4 linked regions of the Notamacropus eugenii genome follow. The protein of the gene in region 1 interacts with the protein of each later gene in a biochemical or structural test. Links are inferred from orthologs where the notes say so. Each region holds a gene or a part of one and is shown in the gene's direction. Other genes may lie near its edges. The genes, in order: LRRK1, POLR2M, STUB1 and ITCH.

Region 1 (7,759 bases):
CCTGGTCATGGGGGACAGTGAAGAAGCTCAGGGCATTGTTAAAAAAAAATGGCATTTCCAAAAACAATGACATCTGACCCATTCTTGAAAAGCACTTGGTCAAATTTCTTGTCTCTGTTAAGAACTTGGCAAAAAAAAATCTTCTCTAGACCTAGAGTGGAGAAACCCTATAATTTATAGTGATGGGTCTTGTCAAAAACCACTTACCCTACCCCCACTCCCACTAAGACCAGCCCACCTGAACTCTATGGTTCATCCTAGTCTTATTAGTCTTATATTAAGCACTATTGGATATGGCCATTCAGCCAGAGGTTAGGTAGAAAATACACAAATTGAAAGACATGAATTAATGTAAACTTTGACTCTACTTTGAATTGAAGACTATAACTCTGTGTCAAGTTCCTTCATTAAAAAGCTGTTAATATCATTAAAGGACAGAATGAACAGTAATTAATTTGGCAGGCAGTTATCTTCATTCATAGTACGATGTGTCTACCTGACTCAGTTTAAATTTAAGTTCCCAAAATAACACTCATTCAGTGGCCACCAAAACATACTATACACAACATATATATTCTGCCAAGCACTTTCTTTTTTTGGGAAAAAAGAGACTTGCACTGCATTCACCACAAAGATTTCCTCTATCTTATAAAGTCTTGCAGCTTGGTATATGTTTAGCTTTTAAGCATAACACGGGAGAATTTCACAGCAGTTTCACAGACAGCTCTGTATATCTATACCTAGGATATTAGAGCCAGAACATTAATTAATCAACATTTATTAAGTGCCTATTATGTGTCAGGTACTCTGCTAAGCACTAGGCATTAACAAGCTACTTAAAGTGAGAACTCTTTTTCCCCCCACAAACTGCAATTCTGCAGCAGGTAGTAAAGCTCTGTAGTTATCTCTAAGACCTTCTTTTGCTCTCTGTCTTCCCTTTGGAGCACTGATCATAAATAATAAAACCTATTTGTTGTTGTTTTTAACAACACCTTAAAGTGCATTCTTTATAACAGTCCTGTGAAGTAGGCAGCATAACTACTATATCCCCATTTTTCAGGTAAGGGAACTGAGGCTCACAAAATGTCAGTGAATTACCCACAGTCACACAGCTAGGAGGGAGCTTGAACTCAAACCCAGATTTTCCAGCATCAAGTCCCCAGGCTCTTATCACTAGGCTATGATGCTTATTGATCCAAATTGCTTAGTAAGACTTATACACTACTGGAAAGATTGGTATCACCTAGCCTTATTTTAGAAGTTTGCTACTCTCATATTGATTTCTAATCGATTCAACAAATAACAATATGGACTGATTGGAGGCAAGAGGTCTCCTACTACACCTGAGTGGTATAGGAATATTGCTTTAAAAAAAGTTGTGGATTTTGTCTCCTTTTTATATAACAAAAACTTAAGATGTTCTGTAATTCCACACTTGGGAATGCTATAAATTTTCCTATTTGACACTGAAATTTCAAAGCTTATTTTAAAAAAAATTCTTAAGGCATACTTTTAGTACCACCTAACTGGTATTTTTTTCTAGATGTGGAAAATGATGCTTATATTTGAGATTGGGGTGGGGGAGTAGTATAATAAAGTGAAACTTCAAAAATAAAAATCAACATGTGTATATGGAAAATCATGTATATGACATAGAATTGCTGTCCTTTTAGAAAATGCCATATGTAATTCATTGTTTTTTTTCTTATCAGTTAATATTCAACATATTGCCTTATTATTTTGTTAAATCAGGGTTTGACTTTACACACTGAACTTTCTGAATTTTTTCTTACATAACTTTAGACACTAACTTTAAAAATAATCCCTCAGAGGGTTCCTCTTCTTTCATTGCACAGTTATGCTTTTCATATGAAATGCTACTTAAATTGTTTAAATATTTATAATTAGTATACAGTATATCCTATTTTTTATAGCTGAAAGTACATGAAATGGTATGTTTAAACTTCTTGTATATACTGTATTTAGAAATGGAAATCTATGTAACATTAGGTTTTCGATTCTTTAAAGATTACTTTTCTGTGGTGTGGTTTTAAAAAAAAACCACTATAATCCTGTGAATTCTAATTCCACTGCAGATGAAGTTTAAAGCAATGCAACAACACTTTTAAAACAGAATAAACTTTTGGGACAAAACGGAATGATTTGTTTTTCTTATCAACAAAAATTCATACCCATTACATGTGGATGTTCTTTTTGTGTTCACCTGGACCTAGCAGACAAATGAAATACCTTAATTCAACTTTTTAAGAAAAAATCTACTTTGCTGAGAAATTAAATTTACATTTACATTTGTCCGGATTTACAACGTTAGACAAGAGTTCTAATCGCCAAAATAAGATTAGCTATCTTTTTATCTGGATGTTTGCATCTCGACTTTCTCAATTTTAAATCTGTTTTGAAACCTCAGCAAGTAATTCATAGCTAAGAGATGAAAGTTAAAGTTGGAATAAGGGCATCAGTGGCATTAAGTAGTAATCAACATTTTTAGGTTAATCTAATCTCTTGCATTTGAAGTTTTAAATGCAGCTCCTTCTGTATTTCAGTAAAATGCTATTTTTTTTTTTAAAAAAAGAGAAGGCTAAAATGTTTGTCATCAGATCATAGACTCTGGATCTGAGAAGCCAATTGCTTCCTTTTACAGATGAGACACTGAAGATGGGAGAGGCGATGTGACTTGAAATTTTATGATCACAGCATCTTTTTCACTGTACCACAGAGGCAGAGGGGGGAATAGTTTTGCCTTATTCAAGAAATATGTATTTGAAAATGTTACACTCTTTTTTTTCCCCAAGTGTTAGGTGAAGAGAAGTTTATTAAGAAAACAAATTTGGAAATTCTTTTGAATATATGTGTTAAATTGAATACTATGATTTGACCAACTCTGAACAGGGGAATTGTAGTTTCCAGTGCCCTCCTGTTTTGTTATGAGGCTTTTGTCAACCTAGTCATTTCATTCCCCTCTCTCCCCTCTCCAAAAATTGAAAAAAATCCTGAATTTTCAGCCTGACCCAATCTTACTACGTCCGCTGCCATGCATTTCCTAAAGAAGTCATTAGGTGGCATATGATGGTGTGGTTGCTAGTGGAATATTAAGAAGGAAGTTAAGAATAAATATTGTAATGAATCATAACGTCTGTACTGTGGGGTGGATTTGTTTGCTATCTTCATTCTTTCTTTCTTTAACCAGAACAGACAAAAACCCCATCGGGACATTACTGGGAAGTGGTAATACTATGCCCCTTTGCTATTATAAGGGTCTGTGTTATGAGTTGTTGTCCAATTATGAAAAGAGATTTGCCCCAATATGACTGCAGTCTTGTCAGGTCTCCAGTTATAGCTCTGCCTCACAGGGCGAGGCTTCCTAGCAGAGGTTCAGTCTGTTTGTAGGCCCGGAAAAGAGTTAAGAAATAACTAAGTCCAGGACATAGGGATGAGAGAGATATGTGAACCATGCAGATAAGTGCCTGTAGCCTTAATACACACTTAAAAGACTTAGGAAATATTTTTCCTAATGACAATCTCATGAAATACCACACTTGAAGCTTGTAACTATTATTAGACCCATTTTACAGATGAGGAAACTGGGGTTGAAAGATTCAATTTCTTTCTTGGCCTTATAGGGGCAGATAGATTTGTATAGTACATAGAATGGTAGGTCAGGAGTCAGGGAAGACGAGTTCAAATTCTGCCTCAAACACTTGGTAGCTTCATGACTACAACAAATCACTAAAACTATAAAATGGATAAAATAAAAGCAGTTGTTGAGGATCAAATAAAATATTTGTAAGACACAGCCCAGAACCTGGCACTTAGTAGGAGCTTTATAAATGCTTATTCCCTTCCCTTCATTAGAGTTAGTGACAAACCGGATTCAAATTCAGGTCTTTCTGACTCCAAGCCCAGAGCCTGCCACCACTTGCTCATAGTCACAGATCACCTAAAGGAATAAAGACATATTTTGAAGGCTTTAGCGGTCCAATTTGACTGGAGCATACAGTAATAATGGAAGGGGGAAGTCATCTAAGTTTAGACTGAAAAAAATAGGCAGGTGTCAGAACAGGGGAAGGACGTTACTTGACAAATTCGATTTTCACATCAGTTTCTGCTTCACTGAATGGAGAATATGGACAAGGGGAAGCTGCAAATTGTTTCTATATACAGATACATTAAATAAACGTTAGTAGGATGAGGCAGGGTTGCGTGGTGGATACAGCACACTGACTTCGGGGCCCGAAAGACTTCAAGTCCTGACTGACAGATACTGTGTCACCTTGGGGAAGGGAGTAACCTTCCCTGGACCTCAGTTTCCTCTTCTGTAAAAGCAGGGGACAGACTCCGAGGACCTTGATTCAAGTCTCCTAATTTCCATGGGCCTCAGTTTCCACATCTGTAAAATCGAGGGAGGACTCGAGAGCCTCTGCACTCTGCCCCGGGGCCGTGGTAATTTCTTTGGGTCGGAACTCCTCCTCCCCCGGCCACTGCTGCATTTCCTTCCAGGGTTCGATGTGGCCGCAGTAACCAGCCCCCCAACTTGACTCCTCCGCGGCCGGCCGCTCCCCAGCCCCCCGCCCGCCTCTCCCTTGGGCTGGCTGGTTACGGAGGAAGGGAGGTCCCGGCCGTGGCCCAGACCGTGACCGCGACCGGGGCCCAGGCGGAGCGCGGGAAGCGGGGGGAGGAAGGGGGGCGCTGCTCCGCTCCGGCCACGCCCTCCCCGGGGGACTCCCGCCCACGCCTCCCGCTTCCCTCCCTCCCCACGGAGGGAGCGGCAGTCGCGCTGAGCCCCGATTCCACCTGGCAGCGCGGGGGCCCCGGACCCCTCCCAGAGGAGCAGGTAAGCTTCTCCTCGGCCCCCTCCCCTATCTTGCTTTTTCCTCCTCCGGGACGCATCCACGCAGTTTGCGAGTGGGGCGGCAGGGCAGAGGCCACGCCAGGGGCTGGCCTCCTCGGGTCGGCCACCTCTGGAGGGCGGCCCGGCTGCCTCCGGAGCCCAGAGGACGTGGATCTTGGCCGGGGTGGGGGTGGGTGGGGGCGGGAACTTCCCCAGGTGCTGCTCACCTGGGCTCGGCCCGGGACAGAGCCGGCTGCCCGCGGCGCTGCGGGATACTCCGAAACCCAAACTTGCCTTCTGCTGCCGGGATTTCTCTGCAGTGACTCACATCCCCTGGGAGCTGCCTGCGAAGGGGACGGAATGTGGGTCCGGCTGGGGGGAGGGGGCTTGGGCGTCCGAACTTGGGGTTTGGGGAGAAGCAAGACCGGGGAACCGAGAAGGAAATCGGAGGACCCCGTCCAGTAGAGATAGGCACCAACTTCCTACCCTTGGGGACAAGTCCCTCCTGCAGTCCGCGATCCGTCCGGAGCTTAAACAGTGCCTGACACGCAGAGTGGGCGCCAAATAAATGTGTTTTACTTATTACTATCAGCCAAATCCTATTCTGCGTGCGCTTCCTTTTGCCAGTCTTTTAAAGGATGCCTGTTAAGGGGGTTATTTCCCCCAGAGACTCTTTTGGAGCCTGATCTGAGATGTCTAGAAACAAAAGCACCTTGCTTTTTTTTAAAACCATATGTAAGATTTTTTTATTCCTCTCTTCTGTATCTGTCAGGACATGCTGGAGGAGAAAAAAAATCACTTCCTAGGAAAAAAACCAACAAAAACAAGTAATGACACTCTTGCTGAAGTAGGATTTCAAATGATCCTTCAGAACCTAGACTTGGTTTGATAAGCTGCCGTGGTATTTGTGTAAGACGTTAAAAGAGGCCATTGTGATTAAGTAGCATTGTTTGAAACAGCAAAAGAAAAAAAGGAAGGACATGGGGTGTTAAAGAACTGACATCTAAACTTTCCCTTTGCTTTCAGACAAAATGCTTGGCCTTAGGCCTCCTTTCTTTTCTTTTTTAACATTTGGTTGTCAAGTCCTCGTATTTGGAGAAAAAGGGCATTTGGAGTTTAATTTCACTAAGTATGCATGGAAAGCAAAATATTGTCTAGTTGATAGGAATGTACTTAAATAAAATAAACTTTCAGGTCCTCCCACCTCAGTTAAACATTTTAGGAAAATTTGAGTTTTCTATTACCCTGATTCCTCCCATGGGGGTTTGGGGAAGATTAATGAGAATACCATTTACCTCTGTAATACCTGGGATATTGTTTTTGGCCAAAAACTCTTGAAGAAACTTACACTAACTTTGCCTGGAAGTTCAAGAATTTACTTCAGCAGGTGAACAGGGATACCTCAGGACATGCCCTCTTTATCTGCCAGTCGTGATTTGAAGGCCTTGGAAAACTGTGCTTGAAGGGACAGGGTAACAAATACTTTCCTAAGTCTGTGTGGCATTGTGATCCCTTTTTTCTGTGATTGTCTCTCACCAGCAGGCCTTTTCGCTGGATACTCTCTGTATCTCTACCTGTTGGGTTTAGTAAAAAGTCAGTCTTGAATTACTGAAATCTTTAAAGGCCCAATCGAGGTACTACTTCCTCTATATTGGCTGATCCACTGTCCTCAGCCTCACTCCCAAACTACCAGCTAAACTGATATATCTCCTCCTCAAATTTTCTTAGAGCACTTTGTCCTGAACTTTTATTGTTAATCACATTCTGCCTTCTGTCAGTTAATTTGTACATTTTTGCACATTTGTATAGCTGGAGAATTGATGTTGCCACCAAAAAGTCAGCACCCTGCTGCTTTGCTGATACACTTCTCCAAACTTAGGCTGGTTCTTACACAAAAGACCTAGGAGCTACCCTGTAAGTCTTTGCTGCCAGGTAGAATCCTCTAGAGCTTTACTTTATGAATTGCAAAGACTTTTTGAACCCAGTCACCTCTAGGCTGCAATTAGGCCCAGCCTTAGGACTTTCTGGTTTTACTTTCACCCTGACACACCCCTTTGAAGTAAATGGACTTCATTACTATCTTACTTTTGTGGGAGGGAGATGTGAGATCACAAAGAGAATATTGCTTTTATTCGGAGCTTTCGGAATCTTTGTAAGATGAAATGTTATGGGATACAGGCCTTTTTATTTTGAAAGATACATTTATATAGGTAGAAAAAGTTTGGAAACCACCCTTTGGCTGAAAAATGGAAAATTTACACTATTTACCTCTTCTAAGCTAATTTCATAATTTAGAAATTTGATTATACCAGGAACCTAACTAAAGATGAGGGTAACTTTGAGGAAGCTAAGATTTTATAGCAAACGTTGGCTGAGAAAGGAAAATGTGCACTATTTGCCACCTCTGACAGAAGATAATTTCCCAGTTTGGAGATTTGATTATGTCAGGAGTCCAAAGATAAGGGGATCTGTGAGGAAGCAGAGATCAGTTTGAGGGCAGAGATTAAGCAAAACTTAAGTTGCTACACTTTGTAACTTTTATTTAGCAAATGGACAAAATTGTGACTATAATGCTGCTCTGGTAGCAAAATATTATTTTGGTAAAAAGATTTTCTTAGAGAAACTGAAAGCAAAAAGGGGAACAGCATGTGTTGGGGGGTTTTAGCAGAAGCTAAGATTTCAAGTTTGCAGAAAAAAGTAAAAATGTGGAAAAACATTATTAGACATAGGAAACTTTAAAAAATTTTAGACAGTTGCCTAGCATTATATCATTTTTAGTGTTGGGTACATATAGTAAATATTTAATAACTCATTATATTTGAAGGCAGTTATTTACAATAGTTTTAGTCCCATTCTACGTCTCTTCCCCAAACCCAACCCCAGTGAATTTATTTTTTTAAGATTAGTTTT
Region 2 (7,711 bases), about 15 Mb from region 1:
GCTTATAAAAACCTGTTTCCTACTGATACCCTCCACTGCAGATGCCTTGATGTGTGTGTAAGTTTTTGTCATAAAAATTATACAGATTGGAAAATGGAGAAAAAAACGATTTTATACTTGTTCTCTATATTACCATTTTGGGGGGCTTTTTATAAGTTATGATTTTTCTCTCTATGTCTTTTGTATGTTTTGCTCCTTTGGATATCTTGTGAATAAATTCTTCAAAGCCCTCAGAAGTGTGTTGACTTCAGCACAGATTGCCTCTCTATATATGATTTTATACAGATAATTTTCTTTTTGCTCTCTTTATGGTATATGTACCTCTGTAAGCATTTCAGAGTTTAAGTGTGATAGCTCCATTTTTCTCAGTAGTGAAAAGTGCTTCTTATAAAATTCTTTGCAGATCTTTTCATCTTTTATTTAGCTCTGTGTTGCAATAGAGTTGCAGCCCCTGAATCTACCAGCTATAGATGTTTAGGCAGTGGGATACTTGAGAAGGGCTATGCAAAGGCTTCTAGGACTGTTTTGAGGAGATTTGTGGGATAAAGTGTCTAGAAGAGAAGAAGGTCAAAAGTTACAGTCTTCAGTTCTTCCTGTTCAGTAGCCAATAAATGCTTCATCATCTCAAAGGGTACAAAAGTGCTGAATCAAGTATGGCAGCAGGGAGCAGTCAGGGAGTTTTATCATTTTCCAAGTTCAAAGCCCACTCAGAGTTGTCATACCCAAGGGGTTGGCCAGAAGCAAGAAGGTCAGCTTTGTGAATGCCGTTACACTTGTAACAACTTGAATCCCTGATACAAGTCATTATTTGTGAAGCATGCAATGTGTTCAAATTCCCCAAGAGGCCATATTTTAATCATCCAGACATTGATTGTAACCTTTTCATGCAGAATCCAATACAATCCTCCTACATTTTGTCGTTTTCAGTAAAAACAATTCCATGCATTATAGTGAAAATATCTTGATGTAAGCTTGCTATCAATAGATTTTTAAAAGTCAGAAATCTCCAACCTCAGTTTCAATAACATAGCATACATATGTAATTGAATAAATAGACTGTATCTGTTGCACTGTTCACTTAAAATGAAAACTAAGAACATTTTAGTTTCAGTTTAATGAACACAAAGATCTTCAGCCATATGGCCAATTCACCTTTCTATCAAATTATTTGTGGGTTTATATCAATAGATGTTAAGTAGCATTACTGTTTTTCCTATTGAACGAGACTTTTTTATACTTAGCAACTCTGAAATCCTTCCGATGTTGCAGACATGCTTTTGGGATTTTTTTGTTTTGTTATTTATTAAAAGCATATAATTTTCTCTGGAAAATTCTGTTTTCCAGAATGAACTATGAACTCTTCATATATACTTTGGATATTCCACTTCAGTTTATTAGACTTTGTGCTCTCAGTTGCTAAAGCATCATGCAAAGTAAACATAGCTATCTTTCTTCATTAATAATAGTTCTTGTGAATTCCAACGATAAATAAAATAGATCATATTTTCTCAATTTCGACTTTGTGTTTCTATATTTCTATCACTGACGCTATCTCTACTGCCATTGTTTGTACCAGTTTCAGCTGCTCTAGTACACTTTTTTCTTCAAACTGGTTATGATTATCTACCATGATAAGATATTATTTTACTTTTTAAAATGACTATAAAAATTTAAGACAACTGTACTGAGATACAACTGCTGAAAATTTCAGTTATCAGTGATTGTTTTAATTGCTTTTTTACAAAATATTTTTGAAACAAATTAATGTCTTTACCAAAATTAATAACATCTAGAAACATAACAGTTAAGATGCATATCAGTAATATCATTCTTGGGATATACATAATTACCATTTTTCCTCTACCTTTTGGTTGTTTCTTACTGACCTTGGTGTCTGAACTGAACTCCCACATTCAGAACCGCTTTTTATCCTCATGCTAAGTTGGCTAGGGATGAAGTATATCCACAATATATTTTGCACATGAAGAAAAGACTTACCTCTTGGTCTCTGAGTTCCTAGAAACCCAGAGCCTTAATCCAAACATTTCTATTTATTTATAGGGCACTACCCTCCTCTCTGTCACTATGCGTGTAAAACTCAGTCATCTTCGATGATTCCCTTTAACTATTCTCCCATTTTAACCAGTTGCATTCCTTTCCATAATACCTCTCAAATCTCTTCCTTTCTCTCCATGTAACTATCAATCTAGTTCAAGAGCTCTTGGTGGATAATTACAATGGCCCACTGAATTGGCTTCCTTGCTTTTAATTGGTCCCCCTCTAAACTATCTTCCATACAGTTGCCAAAATAATTTTCCTAAGTGAAAAGTCTGGCCATCTCTGTTCTTAACTAATACTCTAATATTCCCCAAAGATATATTGTAAACTTCTTAGCCTGGCATTTAAATTTGGCTTCAGTTCATCTTTTTAGTCCTTTTCTCCCCCAACCTTATCTCTCCCCTTAACATTCCAGCCAACCTAGATTATTAGGTTCCCCTTACCTGTCATTCTATCTTATATTTCTTCATGCATTTGGATTAGCCTGTGGCTGGAAAGCCCTCCTTTCTTACCTATTCCTCCTGGTATCCTTGCACTTCTGTAAGGCTCAGTTTAGGTATTATCTTTTTCATTAAGTTTTCCCTGGTCCTTCATAGTTAAGGTTGTTTCTTTCCACAGAATACTTATTTAATTGTTTGTGCATTTATAGTACCCCCATCCCCTCCCTCAAGTGTATAGCTAAGATCAGATAAATTTTTTTCAGAATTTGTATTCCTAGCACAGTCAGTGCCTTGCATGTAGTAGACAATCTACATTCATTAAATGGAATTTCATTCGTTGTTTATGTGCTGTCCATTGTCAGAATGGGATGATATCAGAGGTGGGATTACAATCCCACATCTAACTTGACTGCTATTCTAGTGTTGTTTCCATTATATGGATAGATAGCCTCTACTCTGTATAAGTATTCATCTAATGTTAAGAAATCCAGAGGAAGGCCCCAAAATGATGGGCATGTACTTCTTGGTTTTGCTCACTTCACTCAGCATCAGTTCATATAAGTCTATCCAGGTAGTTCTGAAGCCTGCCTGTTTGTCACTTCTTATAGCACAAGAGTATTCCATTACATTCATATACCACAACTTGCTTAGCCATTCCCCAACTGATGGGCATTCCCTCAATTTCCAGTTCTTGGCCACCACAAAAAGAGCTGCTACAAATATTTTTGTACATGTGGGTCTTTTCCCATTTTTATGATTCCCTTTGGGATATAGCCCTAGAAGTGGGTCAAAGGGAATGCACATTTTCATAGCCTTATGGGTATAGTTCCAAATTGCTTTCCAGAATGGTTGGATCAGCTCACAGTTCCACCAACAATGAATTAGTGTTCCAACTCTCCCACATCTTCTCCAACAAGTGTCATTTTCCTGTTTTGTCATGCTAGCCAATCTGATAGGTGTGATGTGGTATGAAGGGAATATTACTGATCTATACAAATGGTTTTCACAGCCTCACTGGGCTTGAAATCAGGAGATTTGATTCAGTTGTCAAATTGATTTTTGTAGAGTTCTGATTATGCTTTCCCCCTCCCCAGTCAATCATCTCCAGGTGTTCCTTTTCACCTCCAGGATCAAATATCATCAAATAAAATGAGGCAACAAGGTGGCAGCTGTGGATAGAAAGCTGGACCTGGGGTCAGGAAGACCTGTGGATTCACACACTACCTCAGATACTTCCTAGCTGTGGACAAGTCACTTAGTCTCGGTTTCCCCAACTTAAAATGAGAATAATAACGTTTACTTGGCAAGACTGTGGTGAGGATTAAATAATACTTGTAAAACACCTTTAGTGTGGTATCTGGCATGGAATAGGTGCTATATAAATGCTTATTTCCTCTCCTCTTTTCCCATAGAAAACGCCCTGTTTGATGGGCAAAGTCCTCCACAATGGCTTATCGTTTCAATCTTCTTACACCTTACTCCCTGCTGTGTACTCTGTACACCTAGCTTCATTGCTATTTCCTAGTTCCAGGCATTTTCACTAGCTGTCCCCAACGCCTGGAATGCTGTCCCTCCTCATCTCTGTCTTCTGGCTTCCTTCAAGTCCCAGTTAAAACTGCACCTTCTACAGGAAGCTTTGCTTCAACTCCCTAAACACCGGGGCCTTTCCTCTTTGGATTATTTCCTATTTATCTTGTATATACCCATTTGCATATTTCCTTCCCCATCAGGTTGCGAGCTCCTAGAAAGCAGGGACTTCCTTCATCCCCTCCCCCACCCCCATAGCAGATGCTTAATAAATTAACTGGGTTTCCTCACCTACTAGATGTGTCACTTACCCTACCTTTCCCTTAGGTTCCTTAATGCAGAGTGGCAACGTTGAGAGGCGGCCTCTCGAAGCGTCGTTCAAGGCCGGCGCTTCAAAGTTCACTAAGGTCTATCTAAATGAGACTGGCCTGGTGATTTCATGGCGCAGAGAACGCCCGGGGGAAGAGATTCCTTTTACCCGCGCAGGCGAGGGGTGCTCTCCGAGAGGCCCACTCTGAGACCTGCCATCTCCACGAGACTCGTCCAAGGTGCTTCGGGACCGGCTCCCCCGCGGGGCCTGAGGCCTGTTACACCCCTCCCGCCTCAGTCACCCTGGGACCAAGCCACGCGGAGAGCAGCGCGGGTAATGCACCTGTCACAATGGGAGGGAGATGACGAGCACGGAGGACATATACCATGGAGCATTTCTAGGGCCAGCATTTGGCGCCACATGTTTACTCCAGGGTAGCAGAGGCCTCCTCTACCAGGTAAGAGTACTTCTGTAGGTCCTCCGAGATGCAAAAGGATACGGACGCGAGGTGCCCTGGGGGGGCGGGGGAGGGGGGAAGAAACGACACCGGGTTTGCAGTTTGGGGACTGAGTCGATTCCTTGCCGGGACGTGACTTTGGGCCGGTCGTGCTCACTCTCCCTCTCTGGGGCACGTGGTTTTGTTTCATCTGTAAAAAGGCGGTTGCACAAGAGGACGTCTAAGGCCCCTCCCGGCTCTAAATGCAATCCGGCCATCCTAAATCCTGTCCGCCCCAACCTGCGACCTTAATTCCCAAGCCACCATCTCAAAGCGCTCCCAGAGGCCGCAGGTTTCCAGCGCTCGGGTGATCCCCATTGCGCCTGCGCACTCTTCCCCTTCCCCGCCCTTTCCCTTGTCCCGCCGGAGGAGTCGTGGGCTGTTCGGCTCTGTCCGTGTCCCGGCCCCCAGTACAAATAAAGTTTCCAGGTGTTGAATCCTATGACTAGTTCCGGTAAGATGGCGTCCCCCAGTGAACGGGGCGAGTGGTCGCCCTCGGACCAGTAGCTTCGGCGGGCTCGGGTTGCCGAGCGGGGAGCCTGCGGCTGTCCGCCTGGCTGAGGTTGTCTCCGGCAGGATGTCGTCGGCGCCGCCCGGGAGCACCGAGGAGCTCCGGAAGAAGACCCTGGGGGAGCTTCGGGAGATGTTGGGGCGCCAGCAGAAGCTGCTGAGGAACGAGTGAGTGCTGGGCCGCGAGAGCGGGGGAGACCGGAGGGCGGGGCCGGGAGAGCGGGGGCGGGGCCGCCTTCTGCGGACCCTTCCGGAAGTCGGGTCACCCTCCATCGCCCTCCCACGGGCAGCGACGGGGCGCGGTGGCAGGAGTTCAAAGGGGGTCCCAGAGGCTTTCTAGCTGGGTGACCCAGGGCCAGTCACTTAACCGCTCTGCCTCAGTTTCCTCCCCGCTCGGAGGATCCAGTGAGACGATATTTAAAGTCGTTATGACTCCGCCAGACTAAAGCAGGTGTTAGCCAGAAACCCTGGAGGCTCGTGACCTGCCTGCGGGGTGGGGATGGGGAGGGGGGGACCCGCCACACCGGAAGGCCTAACGCCAGTGTGGGTCGGACAGTTAACGTTCCGGAAGCGCTCCGCACGCGCTCTCCAAACGAGCTGCTCGCTGTCAGGAGCTCCTGACGTCGTTCCTCGGGCCGGGAGGCCCAGTTTAGGCCGGTGCGGTCCAGTGCTTTTGTCTGACAGTGAGAGCGGACCGAAGCCAGGACTGGGGAGGTTTGGCCGTGGTCTAACGTTTGCACTGACAGAAGTGAAAGTTCTCCTCCAAGAGCTCTTGTTCTATAGAAGTATTTGGGAAAAACACGGGAAATGAAGGGGCCCAGTTAAGGGAGTAGGGTAAGGAGCCGAGTCGTGTAGGCGGCCAGGGGTCCCTGGAGGGGGTGCTGTATAAAGGCGTGGAAGTAGGAGGCAGGAAAATGTGCTGGAAGGGCTTCCGGTGTGGCTGGACCGATAACTAGTGTTCAGTAAAGCTGGGAAAGCAGTAGAGCCGGGTTGTAAAGAGCTTCGGAAGGGCAGCAAGTTTGTCTTGGACCCTGGAGGAGATGGGTGTACGTGTGACCTTTAAAAGACGTGTAGAATTTAGATAGGCAGAATGGAAAGAAGGAGGATGTTCCTTTTACCTTCAAACTCTGGCTAGAGAGCCAGACCGGGGAAGGAAGACCTGGCTGGCTGCTTCTGAGACTTTTACCAGCTCTGTGACCCCAGGGAAGTTACCTTATCTCTGTGTCGTGCTCCAGGACCTGATGCAGTAAGCACAACGTCACTGTAGATAGCTGGGGGACCTCGTCATCTCTAGGGAAGGCTTCTTTGATTAGGACTGTTTGCTGGCCCTCCTTGGTAACAGGAGTGAATTTCTCTTACGAACCTGTCTTGTTTTATGCCTAGAGTCAAAAAATGATTTTGGCCTACATGGAAGGAGAGCCAACAATGATACACATTAAGTAGGATCTTGTATTCTCTATTTTGACCTTTAACTCACTTATGTGACTTTGGATGTGCAGATGTATTCTACTATAGAATATATGTGTGTGTGTATATACGTACTATATATGTGTCTGCGTATATATATATATACACATGAGAGAGAGAGTTTGTGGAATCCTACTTTTTCTCTTCTCATATCTTCATTAAAGCATAGTGTGTAAGGCATAGGTAAGGCAAGGATGCCTATGTCTTTCTCTCTCTTTCTCTCTTTAGCTTTTACAGAAGAATATTGACGAGGAAGATGAAATAAGAATAGAAATTACAGATGTTTTTCCCCAGGCCCTGGAAACATTTTCTCTTATCAATTTGGTCCCTGGGGAAAGGGGGCTCAAAATTAATGTAGTATCTTACAAAGCATTTGCTCCACTACATTCACTTCCAGATTAGGCACAGCTAATAGAGTTGCTCCCCTTAGATGCTCAGTAGTAGTCTGGGATGGTGGACTGGGCCTGACTGACCACAAATTCTGACAGGATTCTGAGTCCAGGACCTCTGATAGCTTACCATTCTGACCTTTTCTAAGTCCTAGCTGTTTCGGGTACTCTTTCATTTAAATGTAAGAAGTAACAGAGAGAGAAAGTAGGTCTTCTGAACTCAAATGCAGCCATATAGGAAAGAGGGGGAGGTTCAAATTGGCTGTCTAATGCCTTTTGAATGAAGGAAAGTCTGCACTCTTCCTCCTGTAAAAAAAAAAAAAAAGTCATATTCATCAGAAACAGGTGGGTTCATTTTGAACACGTTGTCTTTGTATCCAATCCAGAACAGTTCTGTAGAGTGACTGAGTGAACATTGTTCTTTTACTGCCACAGTGCCATACAGGAAAGAGTCACTGTGACACTAATGCAGTTCTGCATGTAAAAATAAAAATCATGGTAGCTTTCAAATATA
Region 3 (7,209 bases), about 100 Mb from region 1:
ATTTAGGCTCATGTGTGAAGGCAATTAGGAAGCCGTTTACACCTCCTGCCAGAGCAGTTAGCTGAGAGCTGCTGAGCCACTGGGCCCCCCACCCCCACCCCATTCATTCCCTGAAATCCCATGAGGCTGAAGCTGGGCCCTACCAGCTTTTAAGCACCTACAGCCTTCTCTAGTTTCTGAATTCAGGAAAGCTCCAGTGGGAGGTGTTTCTACTCTGGAAAACTAAGTTCCTTCTGATTTCCACACACACCTAGTTCTGTGAGAATCACTGCTCTATTTAGTTAACACTATTAAACTCTCTAAGGGGGGTGGGGCATCCCCCTACACCACATATAGGACAAGAGAAGACAGGACTGGACATACCTGAGCCTTGGAGGAATTGAACGCAAAGGGAGAAGTGACTAGAACTGCAAAGACAGTTTAAGTGACTTCCCCAAGGGTAACTTAGTGATGGGATTGGAGCTATCCACTCCATCTTCCTAACTCCCAGCTCAGTGCTAGCCTGGGAGGGTATCTAAGGAAGTGAGGTCCAGATGAGGTTGGGATGGAAGGCAATTTTAATGGATGACAGTGGCTACCCTCGGCCCTGAGGCCTCCATGGATATCAGTAGATAGGAGCCTGGCTGCAGGTTACTGTGACTTGATGCATTTCTCTTGGGTGGAGTGTATACAGATAGTGTATACAGATCAGTGAATACTAGCTTTTCGTTTCTTGGAAGGTCTGACATCTTCAGCATCTTCCCTGGCTTTGGGGGCCATCCAAGAAAAGGAGGGCAGGACTGTGGGACACAGTTTTTGGGCCACAGTCCAGGTCCAGAGGCACATTTCTATCTGGTGAGGAGTCCATTCTGATAAAGGATCAACTATGAGAAAAGCCCAAGGAGGAAGGAAAATGAACATGCAACTCTGGACCTACCCAAAGCAACTGAGCCTTCCTGCTAGAGGCCTACCCCGCCCAGAGGCCTGAAGCTCCTTTACCCACTACATTTACACCTAATCATTCCACAAACCCTTCTGGCATCAGAGATATCTAGGCAGTCTGTCAGAGACTGAGACTACTGTGATACACACATCCCTCCAGCAGTTAACCCTTACCTTGGTTCAGTCTCTTAGCACAGGCCCAGATCTTGTCCAGATACAAAATATAATGTTTGAGAGTATACTGGAGCACAGGAAGGTCAGGGACTGCAGCCACTGCCTCATCTGCCATGAATGCTATTGTCTCTGGGGCACCTGCAGCCAAAATTGCTGAAAGAAGTATAGCTGGGTTATGGGAAGGCAGGGGATCCTCCAGGACCATCCATACATTCCATGGAACCTAAGGCCTGAATGTCACCTCGTCTTAAGCAAGTTCCCCTGAACCCCTAAGTTACCACTTCTGCTGGGGCTGATTTGTCCTCTCTTAGCACGAGGTCAGATTTGGCCATTGGTTAGAAAAATGTTGAACTGGACTGATGAAAATGGCCTAGTACTAGTGTTTCAAGGCAGCAGGTGAGGGAGGGGATACTCCCAAACCTCCAGAAGAGCCAAGGAAGGAATGAGTGTCTTGCACTCTATCAGCATCAGTCATTTCAGGTCACACATACTTTTCCACCCACTGAGTTGAAGAGTCAGACCTTAGGATGTTGGAGATAACACACCCAGGTTTCCCTCTCCACCTCAGAACATCCCCTGAGGGACCAGCAGAGCCTGGGCTCAGTCTTGGTCCAGAGGTTACCAAGTGTCACCGGTCTGCTGGGATCCACCCTTGGCTCCTCTCCTCCTCCTCTTCCCTCACCAGAGGCAGTAGCTGGTCCCACGGCCTTCAGCTGGCTCAGCTCTGTGATGGCAGCTTCCACATTGGGCAATAGAGAGAAGGCTGCTGTGGTGCACCGCTTCACCATCTCTTCCGGGTTAGTGGCCACCAAATGCTGCAGTCGTGGTCTGAACTTGCCCCTCTAAGCATGTATGGGGAAGGACAGGGCAGGAGGGTAAGAACAGGGTGAGAATATACAATTGAATTCTTAGTGACCCTCTGTTCAGCCTCACAATCCGGATGTCCTGGGAGGTTGTCACACAGCTAATAAGTGGCAGAACTGAGATTTATGACCAGATCTTCTGACTGCAGGTTCTAGGCCAATTAACACACTCCAATCTCTTCTCCTTAGAACCCTGAGTCTTCTTTCAATGGAAATACTATTCCTATCAATACAATTCCTGTCAATTGCAGCCTTTACCCCAACTTGAAGAAGAAATCCTATGTCTTACAAAGATGGGGATGTGAACAGAGAAGGTTTTATAAACTTTAAGTCCAAAAACTAAACAGAACTTTTGGCTGGGGTTTGACTTCATTAGGGTGGGAATTAGAAGACTTGAAACCTAGTTATAAATCTGGCACTAACTCAGTATGTGAGTTTGGATAAGTCACTTCCCCTTTGCTGGGCTTGTTTCTGCCTCTGTGAAGTGAAGGGGTTGGACCATAATCTCCAAGATCCCTCTAACACTGGTATTCCATTTCGCACATTCTAGAACCTAGGAAGGAGAGTTAAGGATACAGTCACCTACCTATCCATCACTCACTGGATATCAATCAATCAATGGGCATTTATTAAGTGCCTGCTATTTTTGAGGCACTGTGGGTACAAAGACAACGGAAAGTTACCGCCTTCAAGGAGCTTACATTTCCTTGAGGGAGAAAACATACGTGTGTATGTGTGTATATACACACACATACTCATGTATACATACACGTAAGGAGATGGAGAGAGAGAGAACAGAAGAGATAGACATAAAATAAATACAAGATCACTTAATTTGGGGAGAGGGAAGGAGCAGTTTTGGGAGATGAGGACAGGGACAGGTTTAGAGTCTGAAGGAAGGGCTATGTGAGGTCACCCCTCCGAATGGGCCTGAGAATTTCTTTTGTGCCTTCCCTGTTGGGCCTGGATCTATGTCCATCCCTACAGACACCACCTTATTCAGATGGGGAGCTTACCGCCAGCTTCCATTCCATCAGCTTCACCAATTCATCTCGAGTTAGGTATTTCTCCTTTCTCTCCCTTATGGAAACTGGCAGCTCCTCCTGATACCTGAAACGGGCATCCACATACTACATGTATGTAGTGGTGACAGGGAAGGGTCAGGGCAGGTCACTGTTCCATGGGGACAGCACTCCCCAAAGTCTACCCTGGGATCTGGAAGGGGGGGGGGGGAACTAAGCTGCCTTAGGGCAAGGTGCCAGACAGTCCCGCACACGGATGGGGTTCCTGTGTCCTGGACCCTTTAGGGACTAGCCCGATGCCCCTCAGATACCAGGGCCTCTTTGAACAAGGGAAATAGATTTTCCTAGGGTCCAGGTTCTCAGGGAGAAGAGAAGAGAGGCAGCCGGGCCTCGGACCCTGTCTGGCCATCCACCAAGAACCCGGGGGGAAGGCTTGTGAAGGCAGCTCTTACCCCCACTCTCCCTGGCCTTGAGCGGTCCCGACTGGGAGGCCCACTACGTGCGGCTGTCCGTCACACGAGCACCCCAACACCCACCCATGAGTCCTTCCACGTGTGGCCCCGGCTCCCCCACCCCGTGCGGGTCAGTCTCGTCTATCGCGCGCCTCCTGTGTGCGGGCGCGGTGCTGGGCACAGGGCAGTCTCCCCCTGCTAGGGCCCGCCGCGGGGCGCTGCTCCCCTCCCTCTGCCCACCCCGCTCCAGACCCCTGCGGAAGTGGGGCCGAGGTGCGGGCTCTGGAGGAGGCGGGCTCACCACGCGTCCAAAGCCGCAAGCTTGCGGGCCTTGCCCGCTTTGGCTCTGACCACCTCCTTGTAGCAGCCCAGCACTGCCGCCCAGCACCGGGGGTCGTCACAGCCATACAGGCCCCCGCTCGGGCCCATGGCCCCAGCCCCAGGAAGCCGGGCACCTCCTGAGGACTGGGGGCCTCTCCGAACCGCGACCAGCCTTCCAGGACCCTAACTCGGGTGGGAAGAGATAGGAGAGAAGGGAAACCGGCCCTCCCTTCCCCACGCAAGCCCGCCGCCTCCGCCCGCGCACGCGCAGACACGCTCTGCGCCGGCGAGCCTTCTCTCCACCCTCCTATTTGCCCCCGACCAATCCCACTCCTTTAGAGGCGGGCTCTCGCTCCCAGCCCCGCCTCTTTCCCAAGCGCGCTCCGCCTCGGCCCCGCCCTCCACCCCGAAAGCATAAAAGCCGTGCGTCCGCCTCGTCTCGGGTCCCCGCCTTTCCTGCCGAGCTCGGCCGAGGTGCGAGGCCCAAGCCCTCCAGTGTTGCTCTTACGTGCTGATGGACCCAGCTGGCTTCGGGCCTAGCCCCACCTCTTTCTTTCGGTGCGCCGTCTCCCGCTGGTCCCGCCCCCTCGTGGGCTCGGCCTTTCCCCCGCCCCATCTCCTCGCTTTTCCGGCGTCCTTCTCCACAGGCTCATCCCTTCTCTTCCGGCCCCACCCCCCTGCTCTCCCGGCCTCCTTGCTTTCCCGGCCGGAACTTCCGGTTGGGTGACGGCGCTGGGTCTCCGCAGGGAAGAATTCGGGGCTTTTTGGGACCGGAGCTCGGGGGTCCGAGCCGAGCCGCGGGCGCTCTCTGTGGGCAGCGCCCGGGCCAGGGCGGGGTCATACCTGAGTATTGCGCACCCCCGGGGCCGGGGGCCGTGACCGGATCACGGGGCCGGGCCGGGGTAGAGGCCGAGGCCGGGGCCGGGCCGGAGCCATGAAGGGGAAAGAAGAGAAGGAGGGCGGGGGCGGCGGCGGCGGCGGCGCCCGCCTGGGCTCAGGGGGCGGCGGCGCGGGCAGCCCCGAGAAGAGCCCCAGCGCCCAGGAGCTGAAGGAGCAGGGGAACCGGCTCTTTGTGGGCCGCAAGTACCCCGAGGCCGCGGCCTGTTACAGCAAAGCCATCGTGAGTGCGGAGGACCGGGGGCCGGGGAAGGGGCGCGGGCCAGAAGGGGAGCGCGAGCTCGGGGGGAGGGGGTGGCCTGCGCTCCCAGGGTCCCCGCCGAGTTCCGAAGCCTCTCACAAAGAAATGGCCCGGGATGCCTTTGTCCCAGGTGAGGGTCTCGGGGCCCAGGATCGGGGCTGGGAGCCGCGGCGGCCCAGGATCGGGGCGGGGAGCCGCGGCAGAGGGAAAGGCGCTTCTGTCCTTGCAGAGCCGAGCTCAGGCCGGCCGGGCGCGGGGGAGTGTCGTGTGTGCGGTCATTCATCAGAGGGAACCTAAGCCCCGCTTCTCTGTGGTCTGCAGCTGGGCAGGGGTCAGGGCCGAGCCTTACAAAGCCAGTAATTCATTTCTGGGGCTTGAGATAGACTGTCTTTGCTGAATGCAGAGCTTGGAAGTCTTGTTCCAGAATGCCAAGGAGTGCCACCCGAAGGTGCTGAGATGAGAGTGGCGCGAGTGAATTTTTTTTCTGAGTTAACACGAACCTTTCCTTAAATGTAATTACAAATGTAACGTTCTGGATTAGGCAGAGGAACCCATTTTTATTGGTCTTTCCTTCTAGGAACATTTTAAAGTGATAGGTACTTGTACTGGTGCAATTACTTTTTACAACAGTATCTTATTTACTGGAAAAACTAAAAAATCATTTGTTGAATTGCAGAGCTTTGTTCTAGGGGCTATGGAAGAATAAATATCGGAGCAAAGTGCCTTTCCTTGGGGATTCTGAACCAGTTTGTTTTGAGAATGTGCCATGTTGGGTCACATAATGATAAAGGGTTGGAGAAAGGGGCTATGTCTTAACAGTTTCTAGGGACCGGCTGGCTGCTTCCCTTTCCCTTGTAGAGTTAGAGGCTTTCTGGTTTCCGTGCCCGGAACAGTGGATAGTATCCGAGGAGGGAAGGAGAAAATAAGGAATGAGGGTGTTAAAGAAGGGGGGGAAAGGAGGATCTGAAAAGACAAAATGGGAGGAGGAATCTAGAGAGGATAGTCTAGGGAGAAAAAAAGAATCCCAGAGTTCTGTGTGTTTGGGGTTAAAGGAAGAGTAGCCTAGTGGTCTCGGGACCAATGAAAGGCTGGTCTCTGAAGCTCCTTCAGCAAAGGAATGACTCCTAAATGTCTGATAGCTGGATGGCTTAGTTGGGGCATCAGGGCATGTTGGAGGGAGTGTGGAATCAGGAGGAGAAAGTCCTGAGTTCATAAGTCAGCTTTGTTTCTTACTATTTGTATGATCTTGAGCAAGTCATGTCACTTCTCTGGGACACAGTTTCTTCATCTAAAAATCCCTTCTCTGTTGTGGGACTCAGTGTATGGAGTGTAAATGAAGGAATGTAAAATTACCTCTTAAAGTCCTTCCTGATTCTAAATTCCAAGAGGAAGAATGTGTGAGGTAGAACATTTGGTGACTCAGGCTATTTAGCTGCTTAGCTGATGAGGCTTTCTGTTTATCTCTATTTATTTATCTTAATGTAGCACCTTGTATTTGTCACCTGCCTGGCTTCCTGAGCGTGCTTTTCAGGACTGTGGAGGTGGCTTCATGCCTATGGCTTATGGCTCAGTTGACTCATAGGTGAACTTGAGTTTAGGAAGGGACCCATTCACCAACCTAGGTCCCTGAAAAGCTGAGAAGGGTAGAGACCTCACTTGAGAACAGACTGCCAGATATCACCCAGATCTAAAAAAAACCTAACCAGGACTAAGGATGGTTTTCTCCGGATACCTGCTCAGGTGACTCTGTAGATGGTTTGGAGGATGGAGCCCCTGAGGTGACAGCTCAGGGATAGCCTTTTTTTTCCTGTGGTGAGCTCTAGGAACCAAATCTCCTTTCCTGTAAAACAAGTCAAGCCAAAGGTTTTCCTCTTGCTTGATATCAAAGACTGAGATGGAAGAAAGGGTCTCAGAGGGGGAATGAGCTAGGCAGGCACTGAGTTTTACATCCCCTGCACCTAGGACAGTGTCTCCTTTCCATTGTATTTGTCCTGCAGACAACTGGGCAGGACAGAACAAGGCAGGGCTATGGGACTTTAGGGGTTCCATCCCGTTGTGCTCTTCCATATATCAAGGGAAGATGTTTCTGAGCTGACCGTGGAAGGATGGTGGAGCAGAGAACAGTGATAGGACACGGCCTCTGAAGACACTAGGCTTCCCCTCACCACCTCCAGTATCACAAGGCTCACACACAGTCACACCGGTCAGACTCCTTTTTCTCAGTCTAGTTCTTGTGACTTTGTTCCAGCAGTGACAGCTTGGGCTCTTGCCTGTTTGTAGCAATAATCGATCAGTAGTTACAGTGCCCAGCTCTTGTT
Region 4 (7,473 bases), about 260 Mb from region 1:
CCTACAAGAGGAGTGAGGATAAACTGGGCAGAAGCTTGGGTTGCAGTAGAAAAGCAAGTAGAAAAGCAAGGAAAAGACAAGAGACCTGGTTTCTTTCCAAGCTCTGGTATTTACTGCACAGCCTAAGCTCAGTCATTTCCTTTCTCTGTGTCTCAGTGTCCTCTCTTGTTAAATGAAATTAATAACATTCGGACAACCTCACAGGGTCTGTGAGGATCCAATGTAAAGTACTGTATAAATGTCAACAGTTATTATAAATATGGCCAGACCTACTCTCAGACCCTCTTCTTGCCTATGCCTGGGCAAAGATTTGCTGGTCTTCGCAGGACAGCTTTAAGGGCCATGGTGCCTCAGAAATACCGTCCATTCACCAACATATTTGCCATTTACTAAATACCTGAGGTATACCTCTTTCTAGCACTGAGGTAGATACAAAGTATGGATAAAAATATTTTCTTTTTTGTTTTCCATAATGCCAAAGTGCTAGTGACCTTAAGTGGCTGCTTTGTGAAGTCAAGAGAAGATCTATTAAATCTTGGAGATGGAAAGGACCTCAGATATCATCGAGTTCAACCTATACCTGTATCCTCTATACATTTGTTAAATGTGATTATTCAGTCTCTTCTTGAATACCTCTGACAAAGAAGAAATAATTATTTCCCAAGACAGCTCATTACATTTTTGAATATCATTGATTGTTAGAGAGTCCTTATGTTAGAGCTTATTCTGCCTTTTCTCAGCTTTCATCCATTGCTACTGTTTCAGCCTTCTGGGTATAAACAGAAAAATTCTAAACTCTCTTCTATATAACATCTCTTTCAATACTTGTTAACACTGTTAAAATAATTAGCTTGTTTTAAACTTACAAGCAATCACAAAGTACTCTTCTCTGAGACTTAAGGGACTTTATTTTAAATGAAAAGTTACAAGTTTCAATCACAATCTCTTAGAGCAGCCCCAGTTACAAAAATTCCTAATATTTAGGCAGAGATGGAGCTCTGCTTCAATTTACATTTATATCTATTTCTAGTTAACCTTTGGCCTCTTTGGAGGTAGGGGCAAAATTCATGTTACTGGAAATATTTGGGCTGAAAAAAAAATAAGACTATATTATAGTGTCTGTGGATAGAGAGGCACCAGGAGAGGAATTTGGGGAGAATACTTTTTTTCCTTCAGTACTTCCCTCAGTCCTTGAGTAGGTGGGGCACACTGTAGAGTCAGCCTGTAGAACCAATAACCCTCCTGGATATCTTTCTTCTCTGTCCTTTTGTTGGTTAGTTGCTTCCTATAATATCAGTTCTTTCATGCCTGCCTCTGTATGACTCTTTCTTCCTCTTTTCTTAAAATTTAGAATTTTTATTCTGAGATAGCTCCTTTTATACAATTTCTTTAGGACATAACCAAGTCTCAAACAATGCCTTGGATTGACTCAAGAAGGTGTAAATGCCCAGTTTACACCAGGGTCTTATTAATTCATTCTAACAAAAGTAATTATTTTTAAATGGTTGGATAATCAAAGGATTTCCACTCTTACTTTTGAAAGGTAGCATCAGAAAAACAAAACAAAACATTGGATTTGGAGTCAAAGAACTCAGGGTTAGACTTCTGGTTTTACTATCATGCTGTTTGTACAATATCAGCAAGTCATGTTTCACCTCTGTTTTTTTTCTTCTGTAAAATGACATCAGACTAGATGACCGCCAAAGTTCCTTCTGGCTTTATAGCCTATGGCTCAATTCCCTCTTCCCCTATTCTACTCTTATCTGGCTAAACTTCGCCCTCTAAATGATTGGAGAAGGGTATGGGACAGTAGCAGCTTCTAATTTCTTGGCTCTTACTGATTGTATGTGTTATAAAGTCTTCATGCAGGAAGGTGGAGAGTTGCTTTAGTCGCTACTGAGTCTTGTGGCATAGATCTTTGAACTCTGATCAGAGGTTTTCCTGTGCTAGCCCCAAAGGCCTCTGAACCCAGTATGTTGCATATGAATGGAAGGGAGGACTCTTTGCCTTTCCAGGCTGGACAGCCTGAGCCCCTCAGCTATATTCCTTCCCATAGCTTATATTCTTTGGGACCCAGGATGGTACAGTGGCATGAGCCCCAAAGACCCAGGTTCTAGTTCAAGCTCTGCCTTTAACTATGTGACCTCTGGCAAATCATTTTCCCTCTTTTGGACTCAGTTTTCCCATCAGGAAACTGAGTAAATACTGAGATTGGATTTGACAATCTGAAGTCCCTTCTAATGCTATGATCATGTCTTGTAGCACCTTGTAAAGCTGTGTATAGAGTAAGAGGTTTCTTCATATCACTTTAATACTGTGCCTTGGCTCCTAGAAGGACTTCAGGCTTACTTGTCCTGTTTTAGTTAGTCTTATGTAAACACACGCTGAAATTTTTCAGGTTATATGGCAAGAGAAGGTTATCCCCTAGAAGTTCAAGGATGCCTCCATTGTCCATCTCTATAAAGGTAAAGAAAATAGATCGTCCTGAGATAATCACGGGGTGAGGGATGGGGGTGGGAGGGTGGGGGTGTGTCTCTCTCTTAGTCACTGCTGGCAAGATTTTTATTAGAGTCCTCCTTAATAGGCTGATCCTTCACCTGGAAGATGGTCATCTAACTGTGAGCCAGCGTGGCTTCATAAAGGGCCAAAGCACAGTTGTTATGGTGTTTGCTGCCTGACAACTCCAGGAGAAATGCCAGGAGCAGAACAGAGGTCTATACACAATATTTATAGATCTGACCAAGGCCTTTGACACTGTCAGTCGTGAGGGCTTATGGAAAATTACGTCAAAATTTGGTTGCCCAGAGAAGTTCATCAGTATTGTATGTCAATTTCATGATGGCATGTGTGCCCAGGTTCTGGATAGTGGACAATGCTCTCGTGCCTTGTCAGCCACCAATGGAGTGAAACAGGGTGGTGTGCTTGCTCCCATGCTTTTTAGCATGGTGTTTTCAGCCATGTTGTCAAATGCTTTCAATGAAGCTGAACATGGCATCAAGGTCAGCTACCATACAGATGGTAAATTGTTCAATTTGAAAAGGCTACAATTCAAGACCAAGGAGGAGGGAGTGTTGGTGCATGATTTTCTGTTTGGAGATGATTGTGCACTCAATGCAGCCTCTGAAGCTGAGATGCAACAAGGTATGGGTCAATTCTCTGCTGCCTGTGCTAATTTGGGCCTAATAATTAACACCAAGAAAACACAGGTGTTCCACACATGGAACCATCAGTTACAACAAATGGAGAAGTTTTGAATGCCATGGATAAGTTCACTCACTTTGGTAGTGTACTTTCCAGGGATATACACATTGACAATGAGGTTGACACACTCATTACTAGAGCTAGCTCAGTGTTTGGGAGGCTCCTAAGAAAACTATGGCAGAGAAGGGGTATTAGATTGACTACCAAACTGAAGTCTACAGAGCCGTTGTGTTGACCTCATTGTTGTATGCCTGTGAAACTTGGACAGTCTACCAGTGCCATGCCAGGAAACCAAATCGTCTCCATTTGAACTGTTTTAGGAAGATTCTGAAGATAGGTAAGGTACCCCGACGCTGAGGTCCTTGCTTGAACTAAATTGCAGGGCATTCAAAATATGCTTCAGAGAGCGCAACTTTCATGGGCTGGCCATGGTTGTTTCAATGCAAAATGTATGCTTGCCAAAAAGACCATTTTATGGAGAACTTGTATAGGGCAGATGGTCACATGGTGGTCGGAAGAAGTGATACAAGGACACTCTCAAGGTCTCTCTCAAGAACTTTGGATTTGATTGTGCAACATGGCACAGGACCGCTCAGCATGCTGTGCCCACATCAGAAAAAGTTCTGTGCTCTATAAGCAAAGCAGAACTGAAACAGCACAAAGGAAACGGAGGATGCACAAGTTTGAAGTATCCACCCTAAATGTTCACATCTGTGACCAGTCTGTGGTGAAGCATTCCGACCTCGTATTGATCTGATCAGTCATAGTCGGACATACTGAAACTGGACTTTATCATGGTGATGTCATTTTGGTCTTCGAGAATGAAGGACAACCACCATGTAAACATAGGTACCTCTTTCCTTTATTTGCCAAACGGTAGGGCCAGGGTTATTATCCAGATTGGTGTGAGGCAGACAGGGTACAGGGGCTGGAGCTGGTACTAGGACTGGCGGTGTTACCCAGCACTGCTGTGAGACAGGAAGGACAGGAGTTATCATGCCCATTTTACAGAAGCAGACGTCATTTGTTCTGGCAAATGCCACGACTTGCTCAGGGTCCCACAACACTTGCCGGCGTCAGAACTCAAACCCGGGACTTCCGACTCTTACGTCTAACGATGCAACCCGTGCCCATCTCACACTCAGAACTTCCAGAGAAGAATCGCCGAGACCCGAATCACCTGCCCTTGAAGTATCTAGGGGAAGCCAGCTGCTTCAGGATTTTTCCCCCTCCCCTTTGCCCCGCCCCCAAACCTGGCACCTTTCGCTGGGAAATGGGCGGGGCTCGCGATGCCTACTAGGACTTGTAGTCCCGGCCGCTCCCTGGCTCCGCCACCTCGGAGCGGCCGCGCCTGCGCACTGGGTGCCGACTTTGGCTGCTCGCCGTGGTTGGAGCTCGGGAGTGGCTGCCATCTTAGCCGCGGGACTGAGGAGCTGCTGCTGCCGCCGCCGCTGCCGCCTCCTCCTCCTCTTCCCCCCAGACCGGTAAACACCTGCGGGAGGGCGGCTGGTTTAGAAGCGGGGCGAGGGGGAGATCTCGGGGAGGACGGACGGAGCCGTGCCCCGCAGGGAGGGAGGGAGGGGTGGCCCCTTGGTTTCTGTGAGCCCCCTCACTGCCGGGCCCGGTCCGCGGGAGGGGAGAGGGACAAGTGGGGCCGCCGGGCGCGGGGGAGGGGGCCGGCACGAGCCCGGAGCGGCGGCGGCACGCTGGCTTGTGGGGCTGGCGAGGCGGAGGGGCTTGGAGTCCCCCGCCTCCCGGGCCCAGAAGTTGTGTGTGGAGGAGGCGGAGAGGGGAGAACGAGGGTGGCGGGGCGCTTCTCCCCCCTCGCTGCCGAGCCCAGCCCTGCTCCGCCCCGCTCGGCTCTGCTCCGTGCCGGCCCCGGCTAGCTAGTGACTGGGCGCGAGCCGCAGGCACCCTGCTGCCGGGGTTCCGCGGGGGGAGGGGAGCGTGGAGGCGGAGGCTTCCCCGCCCCCCGCTGGCACCTGGGCCGGGCCGGGGCGGGGGGCGGCTGCAGCCCCCTGGGACCGAAGGCGTCCGGAGCGAGGGCGAGCGGGCGAACATTGCCCACTTGCTGTCCCCGCCCCCTTCCTGCGGCTTCATTTCCAGGACGTCTCACTCTAGCGCTGCTCTGGCTTTCCCGAGTCCACAGCTTTCACCTGGTTCTTTCAAATCGCACCCGCCAGAAAGAGAGGGAGCGACTGACGAACCCTCCTCCTTCCCATTGTCCTCGCTGGCTGTTCGGTTCCCTTGCCTTTCTCCCCCGGGGCTCTGGTGCCTTCTGTCTGCGCCCGCCCCCTTGCCCTCAGTGCAGTGTTTATTTTCTTGGGTCATTGAAGCTGAGATGACTTTTAAAAAAAAAGCAACCGACCAACACAGGTGGAAATGAAAGCCCGACAGTATGATGATGGTGGTGGTGGTGGTGTGTGGGGAAGGGGGTGTAACTTGTTTTTAAGACGAGTATTTTGACGTGAGTACTTAAAGAGTAGATAAAAACACCAGCTCTGTAGGGTGGCGATAGAGGTTGGGTCTAAAATTAGTCATCTTGCGTGTAAACAGGTGAGCTTAAGCTCTCAAAAAGGCACATTTCTTAAAGGAGAGTTAAAGTTGATTCAGAACAAAGACAACTTTGTTTTAGTATACCTCTTAATTTTTTCCCATACTTCTTGCCTTCTCATAGGATGGGTTTCTGTTATAGGTTTTATGTGTATATGTATGTTGTATGATTTTTGTTGTAGAATTTTTTCCCCCCTCATGTTGTAGAATAGCCAACTGCCACTGCCTTCTTGCTTTTAAACTATGGAGAAAGGCTATATTTACAAGACAATGAATTAAGTAGTGCATTTCTATTACTTTCTTTCACTTTCTAAACCAGCTATGGGTATTTAGAGATTTATTTTCTAAGAACCTTTTCACCACAGAAATGAACTGATTTGAGATCTGGTGAAATCCTATCCTGTTTCTGAGTTTCAGTTAATGTAAAGGACTCAATGGCAAATACAGTGGCTTCAGAGACAGTGACTATAAGGCCCAAATAATTACATCTGTATATTTTCAGCTATGCAGAAAAAAAGTTTACTGTTGCCAAGTGATTGCCCTGTCAGATTGGTCAAAGGGGCTCATTAAGAAGGCTGAATAACACAGTCTATTATATTTGAGTTCAGTTCCTAGGGAGCCATTCCTTAATATTTATGTGAAACACCACCAATTAGTACCAGGTCAGTTTGGGTTTTGAGAAGAAGTAGGAGTTTAGATTGAATGGTATGAAGAGCTAGTGCTCTATTCCAGGGACTAAAAAGTATCTATCTAACTTCCTTCCAGTCAAGCAATTAGCAAGAATTTATTAAGCTTCTGCTACATGCTAACCTATGTCTACCAAAGAAATAAAGACAGAAATGAAAAAGTCCTTGTTCTCAAGGATTTTTTAGTCTATCACAGGAGACATGTACACATTTAGGTATGTACCAGAAAATATTCATATGAGTCTTTGGTGTCAAAGCTTTGGGCATTCTTTCCAAAAATGCAGATTGCAACCTATTCATACCTACCCATTTTTTGGTGAGGTCCATGTTGTCCTAAAAGTTCTTCAGAGAGGAACTACTCAATGGGGAGGAGATCATCCTTTTCTCTATTTGCCTTGATATCAGCAGGGTACCAGTGGAACAGTGTAGCTGTCCACTGTAATCCTTTGCTTTTACTATATGACAAACCATCTTTTTCTCTCATGTGTTTTTTGGGTAGCATTCTTCACTCCTGTTCTTTGAAGTTCTTTGTTGGTTATGTGTTGTAATCTGTTTGTATAGACTACGCTTTTCTGTTACCCTTTCTATGATACTCATCCTTTCTTTAGAGGCAGTAATACTCTACATCTTGTTGCTAATGTAGAACACTGGTAAAATGATAGTATTGAAAAAAACGTGCCTTTGCTTTCATAGGAAACTTGGGGTCAGTAAAAGACCTTTGCAGCTTTCTGAAAACAATCCTCCTGTTCATTTCTGGTCATGTTCCTTCATATCTATCTGTATTGTGTGTCCTAGATATACAGAGTGTTGGAGAAGTTCTGTGGGTGTCCATCAAAATCCATGTTGAAATTGGAACAATAGACATTTTCATCCACTTGGTCTGTCTTGTTAGTTTGGGTAGGAATTTTTTCACACGCACACACGCACACACCCACACACATGCTTTTGTCTTGTAATTGTCTCCATCCTTTACTTTAGTTAGCTTCCTGTCATTTGAGTTTCAATTTTATTTCTGTAATTTGCATCTCTACCC

Evidence for each region.
Region 2: the proteins of LRRK1 (region 1) and POLR2M form a complex in vitro, tested with the Homo sapiens proteins (2 studies listed by BioGRID and IntAct, with this or other methods). The link is inferred for Notamacropus eugenii from reciprocal best matches to the Homo sapiens genes LRRK1 and POLR2M.
Region 3: the proteins of LRRK1 (region 1) and STUB1 form a complex in vitro, tested with the Homo sapiens proteins (2 studies listed by BioGRID and IntAct, with this or other methods). The link is inferred for Notamacropus eugenii from reciprocal best matches to the Homo sapiens genes LRRK1 and STUB1.
Region 4: the proteins of LRRK1 (region 1) and ITCH form a complex in vitro, tested with the Homo sapiens proteins (2 studies listed by BioGRID and IntAct, with this or other methods). The link is inferred for Notamacropus eugenii from reciprocal best matches to the Homo sapiens genes LRRK1 and ITCH.

What each region holds. Positions count from the first base shown.
Region 1 is NC_092872.1:153,611,262-153,619,020, reverse strand, and holds the start of LRRK1 (leucine-rich repeat serine/threonine-protein kinase 1), read left to right. Parts: upstream 1-4,752; 5' UTR 4,753-4,852; intron 4,853-7,759.
Region 2 is NC_092872.1:138,862,543-138,870,253, reverse strand, and holds the start of POLR2M (protein GRINL1A), read left to right. Parts: upstream 1-4,702; 5' UTR 4,703-4,792; intron 4,793-4,992; exon of another isoform or gene 4,993-5,407; 5' UTR 5,408-5,408; coding exon 5,409-5,509; intron 5,510-5,600; exon of another isoform or gene 5,601-6,582; coding exon of another isoform or gene 6,583-6,587; intron 6,588-6,621; exon of another isoform or gene 6,622-7,477; coding exon of another isoform or gene 7,478-7,542; intron 7,543-7,711.
Region 3 is NC_092872.1:53,702,604-53,709,812, reverse strand, and holds the start of STUB1 (E3 ubiquitin-protein ligase CHIP), read left to right. Parts: upstream 1-4,194; 5' UTR 4,195-4,687; coding exon 4,688-4,873; intron 4,874-7,209. Other genes in the region: uncharacterized protein, read right to left, coding at 688-863, 1,096-1,248, 1,718-1,937, 2,975-3,068, 3,734-3,861. UniProt on the Homo sapiens protein: E3 ubiquitin-protein ligase which targets misfolded chaperone substrates towards proteasomal degradation.
Region 4 is NC_092872.1:418,486,941-418,494,413, forward strand, and holds the start of ITCH (E3 ubiquitin-protein ligase Itchy homolog), read left to right. Parts: upstream 1-4,471; 5' UTR 4,472-4,490; coding exon 4,491-4,685; intron 4,686-7,473. UniProt on the Homo sapiens protein: Acts as an Acts as an E3 ubiquitin-protein ligase which accepts ubiquitin from an E2 ubiquitin-conjugating enzyme in the form of a thioester and then directly transfers the ubiquitin to targeted substrates.